Regions from separate parts of the Mus musculus genome. Here region 1 is reported to be linked to region 2. The links are microRNA targets in miRTarBase. Many come from high-throughput screens and were not tested one by one. Region 2 holds a microRNA gene; the other region holds the end of a gene's coding sequence.
What was found. The annotated mature microRNA mmu-miR-219a-5p reads UGAUUGUCCAAACGCAAUUCU and lies in region 2 at 1,702-1,722, shown strand. An mRNA with a match to its seed (bases 2 to 7 or 8) in the 3' UTR can be bound and repressed. Matches are read on the target gene's strand: a 7mer-m8 pairs with bases 2 to 8, a 7mer-A1 pairs with bases 2 to 7 and ends in A, and an 8mer does both.

Region 1 (4,380 bases), not on the chromosome of region 2:
CCAGAGAACCCTGGGAACTTGGGGGGATCCTGAGCTGGGCGCTTTGGAGATTTCAAACTTTGATGTGCCTTTTCTTTTTAAGTCACAAATTGATTTTGAATGTATGGCTCTTATGATTTTTCTCTTCTAGCCTTAGCTAGGGGCAAAATAAGTTTAGAACTTTGAAACACCAGCCTAACCAAGTAGAAAAACCACAGGTTTTATTAGAGCCACATGGTCCTTAGTTTAAATATCTTATTTGATTTGAGTCTTTTTTTCCCTTCATATAGTGAAGAAAATATCAGTAAAAAATTACATTTCTCTTGCATGTAAAACCTCCGCATAATACCTGATGAAGTGTGGTTGCTAGACTTGTTACCCACATTCTCTTCCTTTTGGATGAAACTAATGCAATGGAGGATCGTGGCCTCTGTGGGGCGATGTTGGGGTACTTGGGGATTCTAGAAATGGCTGCTGGAGCTAGAGTCAAGAAGGTGCAGCCTGGCAGAAAGGTGAGTGTCCAAGCCTAATGCCTGATACCTCCCCTTCCTTGCCCTGCCCCCTGCAGTCCTGTCCAAGAACAGCAAGCCTATCCACACCACCATCCTAAACCCTCACGTCCACGTGATTGGGGAGGACGCAGCTTGCATCGCCTATATCCGGCTCACTCAGTACATCGACGGGCAGGGTCGGCCTCGCACCAGTCAGTCAGAGGAGACCCGGGTGTGGCACCGCCGGGATGGCAAGTGGCTCAATGTCCACTATCACTGCTCAGGGGCCCCTGCCGCACCGCTACAGTGAGCTCAGCCACAGGTGCTCCTTGTTGGGGAGAAGGGACTGGGAAGGGGAGAGATGGCTTGAATAGCTGAAGGGTAGGAGGTGGCTCTCTAGGAAGAAGTACGGGCCCTCCCAGAGGGGTGGGACAGACTGGGCAATGTAGTTTTGATAAGCTATGCTCTGTAATCAGACAGACTCCAGATTTGGTGCAAGCGTTCTTCCCCTGCTGAGCCTTAGTTTCTTTACTTATCAAAGGATGGATGGTAAGGATTAAGATACCATATTAAAGCACTGAGTAGGCCCTCAAATGTGAGAGTGCTGTGTTTAAACGTTAGCCTCTCCTGTACCAGTCCTCTCAAGGACACAGCCAAGTGTGTGCTGTGAATTACCTGTGTTCTCACCGTCCTCTTCTGTCTGTCCCACCTCCTCTTCTGTTTGACAGGGGCATTAGGAGACTCCAGCTGGAGGTTGAACCTTCGCAGCCAGTGACTCTGGAGGGCCTGAGTGACAGCGGCGGTCCTGTTCGTTTGAGGTTTAAAACAATTCAATTACAAAGCGGCAGCAGCCAATGCACGCCCCTGCATGCAGCCCTCCCGCCCGCCCTTCGTGTCTGTCTCTGCTGTACCGAGGTGTTTTTTACATTTAAGAAAAAAAAAAAAAGAAAATAAGATTGTTTAAAAAAACGGAATTCATACCATGATGCGTTTTAAAACAACTGATAGCCCTTGGCTTGCAAGGAGACAGGAGTTTGTGTGATGCTCATCCAGGCATGAACAGTGGGCTCACCCACCAGTATTGAAGAGGTGAGCTTGGCCTCAGGCCCCCATGGATTCAGGGGGACCAGGCAAGGACTCTTGACAGAGCTTTGGTCATGGACAAAGCCATGGTGTGGTTGCAGCCCCAGAGGTGGCCTGATCACCCCAGTTCTAGGAGTGGACTTCGTCAGACCATGCATTGACACCTAGTATGAGAAAGACGCAAACACCGTGGCCGCTGGACCTACATTGGAGAGAATGCAGCACTGCCAGCCTGCTGTGTGTGGAGGCAGCTGTGAGGCGTGGCCTCAGGACTGAAAGCCTGGACTTTGCTGTACCGGTCCAGTTAGCGTAGACAGGAAGAGAATTGGTGCTGCAGAAGTGTGTCCGCCAATGAGAAACCTCGAGTTCGTCTGACATGCACTTAACTCATCCATTTCTAGAGGATGCACAATGCACGTGGGCCTGAGACTGAGGCCCGATTTCTGCTGGTGGAAAGGGGGAGGGATTGCTACTTTGTTTCCTGTTGGTTTTCCTGACATAACAAGGAGAGATCCAGAAGTCGTTGGCCAGGGCTCCTTTTGCCACTTTTGGCAGTTGTTTGTGTGCTGATCTGGACCATCTTTGTCTTGTATTTTCATGGTGGTGGTCCCCATGCTGACCCTCATCTAGGCCTGGGCCCTCTGCCAAGTGCCCCTGTGGGATGGGAGGAGTGAGGCAGTGGGTAAGAGTTGGTGGTTGTTTCTATGCATTCTGGCTGCCCTCTGGGCTGCCTCCCTTCTTCCCATGCTGCACGCCCAACTCTTTCCCTGGGTTTGAGATCGAACTGACTGCTTGGGTGAGAAGTGTCCTCTTTAAAGAGGCTCTTTATTGACCAACCGAAGTATAGACTTTTCTGCTGGACAATCTGCATGGGCATCACCCCCTCGCCTGCATGTACCCACAAAGGGGTCCAGAGCCAAGGCTCCTGCATTCATTGTCCCTCTCTGTGCTCAAGGAGGTCCATTCCAGGAAGAAAAGGTCTGTACCTTAGGCAGATAACAGAGAAGATAATGGAAGAGGCAATTGGTCATAGTCTTGGTTCCCTCCCACCAAACAACTGCACATTATCTGCATTGGGGGGGGGGGTAGATTTCAGCTCCTTGGGTGACCTTCAGGAGGCACAGGAGCTGGGAAAAGAGAACTACAGAGTATGGAGCCAGCTGAGAAGAGAACAAACGCATGGGTGCTGGTGCTTGAATTTAGCCAGGCTCCTCAAGCACTTGTGCATGCCTCAGACCCTGGACCCTAGACCCTTCCTGCCCTGCAGCCTGCAGTGCCAGCCAACAGATACCTTCATCACAGGGTTTGGTTTTGCTGGCTTGAAGACAACAAATGGTCTTAGAGCTCTTTGAGACCCATAGCTTCATGTGGCTGCTCCAGCCCCACTTCTTAGCGTTCTTACTCCACTTCTGGGGCTAATGTCAGCATCTATAGACTATTAATAGACTATTTAAAAAACAAACCACCTTTTAAACAGGAAATGGAAGGCATTTGATGCAGAACTTTTGCATGATGACATAGAAATAATTTAAAATAGTGTTTGTTCTGAATGTTGGTAGTCCCTTCATAGCTTTGTTACAATGAAACCTTGAAGATATTTAATAAAATAACCTTTAAACAGTCCATTGTGTTATTGCTGTTGGAGGCTCGTAGCCGTGGGCTTAGATTTTAGCAGCCTGCGTGACAAGGCTTCACTAGGAGACGAACATCTTTTTGCCCATTCCCTTGGGGAGCAAGGAAGAAAACTTCTCATAAACTCAGCCTGGGCTGCTGTATTGGGGGGTGGCAGGGAGGAAGTAGCCTCTTAGGCGGTGGGCCGAGTCTTCGCCCCGCCCCAGGCGGAGGTGGCCCCGCCCTTGGTACGCGGGCTCCCTCCTCCGCGGGTCTGAGTGGACAGGCCTGGGCCCTGGGCCCGCCCCGACGCTCCGCAGACTGTGCCACCCGGCGTGGAGGACGGGGTCCACCCTGGTGGGCTGAGCGCGAGGCCGGAGGGCTGGGAGGCTGCGGCTGGGCTGAGCACTGCGGAGGGCCGTCGGCTTATCCCAGGTCCCGGTCACGCAGCGGCCACGCTCGGGGAGCGCGCGGACCTGAGCGGGCACCACGAGCCGCAGCGCGCCGCCTCCCCCTGGTGGGAGCGGTACTTGAGCCCGACTGCGGCGGAGCGTTCGCTCGGAGATGGCGGAGCCGCCGCGACGCGGCCCGAGGCCCCGCGAGCAGGGAAGCCGGGCAGCCCCGGGACGCGGCAGGGCCCGGGGACAGCGGGGACGCCGCCCACTCCACCGGGTGAGCCATCTTTGAGAGCAGTCTCCCGTCCACGGTCGCCCTCGGTTTTCGCGATCAGACTTCCTGCGAGTGTCGCCACCGAAACCACCCGCAGGGTCGTCCTGGGCGACCACCCATCTGGCCCTGTGCACCCTGCCCCGAGTCCCAGCCGCTGGCCTCCCCTCAGTTGCCTTATTCTGGCCACTCCGCCCAGGGCACACGGGGTTCTTAAACCCAGTGCCTGTCTGGATGCCAACTCTCGGCCGCACCCCTGCCCCTTTCCCTCCAGCTCCCCCACCTGTGGGCTCCCCATTTCCCGTAGTTCCCGCAGGAGGGTCCTTCTATCCTCAAGGTCAGGTCCTTCCTCCCACAGCGTGGCCCCTGTTGTTTATTCCAGTGGTGGGCCCACACCTCCAGCCCACCCTGACCCTGTATTTGCTGCCCACTTTGGCAGACGACCCTTAGGTTTCTCCTTCCTCAGAAACTTTCCACTGCCACACACATGTTCTTCCTCCAACTTAGTCATCCCACTGCTCCCCCACCAAAAGTTCTCACATGATCCCCT
Region 2 (4,380 bases):
AGGGCTGCCCATAAGAAGAGTGTATCTCAGGGCAGGAGTTTGGGGGGTGCCATGGAAGAGGCAGAGTGCTTGAGGAAGCCTGGGAAGGATAAAAGGCAAGAAGACCACCGCTCACTCCCCTCTGGAAAGTGACACTCACTGGGGTGACAACCCCCAGACTGATCTCTGGGGCTGGGATCTGGATGAATGCAAACAGCAGACCAGATCTCTTCTCTATCAGACCTGTTCAGGGTACATATCAGACCTTCCACAGAGCTCCTGAGCCTCTGGATGGGTGGACCATCCAAAGGAAGACACAGGAGACAAGCATTAACAGATTGCCTACCCTTTCACACACACCTGCTTCCCTCGTCCATCGGTGCTGCAGCTAAGGGATAGGAGCCTGGGAATCAAGCCCTTGTCTTTGGGGAGGGGAGGGGTAGTCTCCAGATCCCTCTGGAGGTGTGGTCTCTGGAGACTGCATCTTCAGCCTGTTGGTTGGGACTATATGATCCCCCCTTATTCTTCGGATAAGTGTTCTAAGGGGGGTGACCCTCTGACTTCTAGACTGTTACCCCCTCACACCACGGAGAAACCCCTGGAAAGGAGCTTTAAGGAGTGAGAACTCAAGAGATAAAGATGTAACTGGAAGGAAGCTTGGGTCCTAAAAGATCCTGGATTCTCCTGGTTACTCTTGGGGAACTCAGCCAAGCTTAGAGTGGCCTCATTCAGGTCCAGAGTCCAGGACCGAGATGTGGGTGCCTGGCCCTGGGGGGGGGGGGCTACCGGCAAAGGGGTCAAGCTGAGGGAGCAGGCGGGGCATCCGTAATGGAGGGTGCTGAGTGGGGTGGGAGGGCACAGGGTCCTGCCGGTGCAGAGTGGGGGGAGCGGCCCCCAGGGAGGGGCATGCTATGTCTTTAAGAGCTGCCTGAGCGCAGGTTGCAGCTGCCTGGCCAGCCCGAGAGAGACAGCGGAGATTCATTACCCGTCGACACAATGACCATTGATGGCCCCGTGGCGTTATTCAAATCCAGTACCAATTGCAGCCGAGCCCCTTTCTCCGCGCCAGGCCCGTATTGTTGGAGCGGCCCACTAAAAGCCCGCCCCGGCCCCAAGCCGCCAGAGGCGCCCGCTTGGGTTCAGCCCTGCGCCTCGCCAGCACGCCGGCTCCCAGTCCGGCTCCCTGGGCGCTGCAGGTGACCCGGCGGCACATTCCGGCGCTCCCCGCTGCCCAGGCTACCACCACCCGCGACTCAGCCACAAGGAAGCAGAGAGCGCCTGAGCCGGTGCGTGCGCGGGGCCAGGCTGGGGAGGGGGCCCCGCGAGTCCAGCATCCCAGACCCGGGGCTCAAGAGATGCTACCGGCCTCGGGCCCCAGTATTCCGGATTCCCAGAACCCAGCCTGGGGGCGGGGAGAGGGAAATGGGGTTCCCTGGGCCTGACAGGGTATTCCTCCAAGCTGGGGCAGCCCAGAGACACAACGCGGGTTACTCTAGGGACCCTTGGCCGCGATGGAAGGAAACACGCTGGGGGGCGATGGGGATGCCCTAGCAGGGCCGGGATCTGGACACCGGCTTGTCCACCTTACCGCGGGACGGGCTGCGATTGCCGAGCTTCTGCGAGGTATTCCGATACGCAGCTCCCGAGATCTGGTGTGCGCTTTTAAGGAGCCAGGCAGAACCCAGAGGGGGACCGGGGCCCTGAACTCAGGGGCTTCGCCACTGATTGTCCAAACGCAATTCTTGTACGAGTCTGCGGCCAACCGAGAATTGTGGCTGGACATCTGTGGTTGAGCTCCGGGCTCTACAGAGACGAGGTCCACGCTGGGAGAACCCCTGAGCAGCCGGCAGGTCCCAGAACGATCATTGTGGCCCCAGACTGGCATGCAAAGAGGGGACAAAAGTCCTTGCCACCGGCGCCGCCATCCTCATCCTCGCCTCTTTCCGTATCCTCTGCGGGTGACCCGTGTCGGCTGGCAGAGTCCTCCGGTCGATTACGCTGGGTTTCCCCCACTTTCAAATTTCGGCCAGAACGAAGCTGGCATACAGCAGCGGGACCGGGACCCGAATGTGGTTCGTGCGGCCGGTCCTTGGTCAGAACCGCAGTTGGGGGGGGGGGGTTTGAAGGGATACGACAGCAAAATTCTTTTGCTAACTTGTTTTGAATTTGTTTCAACCTGTCCCCTGACCAGTCCCCCGAAACAACAAAAAACAAACAAACCCGAAATCAACCCGCATATCCCAAACCAGCCAACCAACCCCTCCCACAAGCTCCTCTGGACCGACTGATGGGCTGTGCTTCCTCCCGCGGCTGCCAGAAACCCAGAAGCTGGGGAATGATGCGCTCCAGCCGGGCAATCGCTACGGCTTTGGAAATACGAACTTGGACAAATCAATCCTTTTCATTAAAAACAACAACAACAACAAAAATGCTTCGGAGGTAGTGGGACTTGTTTATTTCCTCAAAAACAAGGGCCACGAGGTGCATGGGAGGGGGCTGTTGGAGCTTAGTGAGTCACCTGTCTCTGACCCCTTTCTGTTAGAGGACCAGAGTGAATGGGCAGTGGCACCACATGGGGAAAGCTGGTTTCCTCAGCCCATCCTCCTAAATGCTCAGCATTAACTGGGGTGCCATAAAAGCAAGAGGTCCCTACCCACACCCTCCCACCCATCAGCTAGAAGGCATCCTAGTGCTTATGTCTGGTAGCTGAAGCCTTGGAACCAGGACAGGCTGACCCTCTAAAAATGTCACAGTGAGAAAACTATGATGAGGCTTGACCTCAGCACACCCTCAGCTGCACTTGGACCCAACACTGGCTGCTACTATGCACACAAGCCCAAGGGTCTGTTGTGGGGCAGTGGCTGGGAACAGCTCACCAAGCAGACGTCAGAGAATGCTCTCCTTGAGAGTCTGCTCTTCTCCACCCCCATCACTGGCCCACAGTATCAAACACTCTCATCTATGCAAGGTAAAGGAGTCCACCTCATTGCCATGTAGTGAAAAGCAACATTTTGGGTCAGATAAAGCTTTTTCTGCAGGTTGTGGAAGTAATGAGACTCAGCAGGCTTACTTAGGCCACCCCTTCTGGGACTGGTGACTGCAGTTGGCAGAACAAAGCCTAGCTTGGACTGGTTGGTGAGAAATCCTGGCTTAGAATGTGGGCTGGTCATCACGGGCTTACACTCCCTTCCCATCCACACCGTCCTACTCATCCACCCTCTCTTTGGAACAGTTCATGTTTTTACCTTTCAGGTGAAGGCCATCTCTGAACCCTTGGCTCAGAACAGGGCATTTGTATTAGAACCCACAGACCCAGAGAGTACAGGGCCCACCAGTTTTAAGGGTGAAGCAAGGCTAGTAAACAACCTAGTCACTTAGTCTTTTTATTTGCCCGAGGCCAGCTGCTGCAGGCATGAAGTCTCCAGAAGATAGAGGAAAGGGACACACACAGCCTTCTGCCCACTAGGTGCTGCACACCCAAATCCCACTTGTTTCAGGAAGCCTGGAGTTACACATGCTGAGGCCCCGCCCCCTCTGCCTACGGTTAGGCTGCTCCCTTCCATTCTCTACCCGCAACAGAATGAGTTGTAGGCAGCCTGGAGAGTATCTCAGGAGCCCATCTGGTGGCCTATGTGGGGGGGAGGCCAGCCAGGGTCAAAGGATGGAGAAGGGGGTGGGGGGGAGAGCAGCTGCTGGGTGGAGGAGGGAGGGGAGCACTGAATAGGGGACCCCAGCTGGGGTTCCATAATGACATCAGTGGGGGACAAGCAGAGCTCTCTGTGTCCAGATGGGGAAACTGAGGCGGAGGCCCTTCTAATCTTTGGCAAGGGAGGAGTTTCTCATCAGTTACTCCAGCCCATCTATCTTCCCCATGAAGATGTCTCAGGAACTGGAGTGCCTTCCAGGCAACCACTCAGTGCTTAGATACACCAAGACACATGAGTGGCAAGCAGCTGGGTCACCTGGGCACAGAGCCCCCTCTACTCCTGACACAGCACAGGAACACCCTCCCCCACCTCAGCTGCTGGGAGGAGTGCTGGACTCAGGCGGCTGCTCTCTCTCTTCGCTCTCCCTGCTCACGTGCCTTGCCCAGAAAGGCTCATTTTTAGCACCTGGCCTCTTTTCCCTGCCTAGAGGAAGCTCAGGGGTACAGCAGGGAAGGAGGCAGCCAAGGGGGACTGAGGACCTGGAAGCAGATCGAGGAGTGCTGTGGTTGTCCTGTGTTCCCCTGCAAAGGTGCTTGGGCCCACTGGGGAGGCCTCAGCCGCCGTGCAGTGTGGAGATGAAGAGGATGCTGTCTTGGTCCTGCAGCTGGTAGTCCAGCTCCCCCTGGGTCAGGAAAAAGGGGCAGGGGCCATCAGAACATGGTCCAGGTCATTGCCAGGTATTAGGACACAGAGG

Region 1: the mRNA of Camk2g is a reported target of mmu-miR-219a-5p. Seed matches in the 3' UTR shown: 7mer-m8 at 2,413-2,419.

Annotation. Positions count from the first base shown.
Region 1 is chr14:20,733,671-20,738,050 of GRCm38, reverse strand. It overlaps Camk2g (calcium/calmodulin-dependent protein kinase II gamma), which reads left to right. Exons shown (of 21, transcript NM_001360186.1): 20 at 548-792; 21 at 1,199-3,178. The coding sequence ends at 780. It overlaps Ndst2 (N-deacetylase/N-sulfotransferase (heparan glucosaminyl) 2), which reads left to right and starts at 3,489. Exons shown (of 15, transcript NM_010811.2): 1 at 3,489-3,836.
Region 2 is chr2:29,843,031-29,847,410 of GRCm38, reverse strand. Mir219a-2 (microRNA 219a-2) reads left to right here and starts at 1,684; the gene lies at 1,684-1,780. It overlaps Urm1 (ubiquitin related modifier 1), which reads right to left. Exons shown (of 5, transcript NM_026615.4): 5 at 2,415-4,308. The coding sequence ends at 4,240. Mir219b (microRNA 219b) reads right to left here and starts at 1,764; the gene lies at 1,700-1,764. It also overlaps a transcript of Cercam not described here.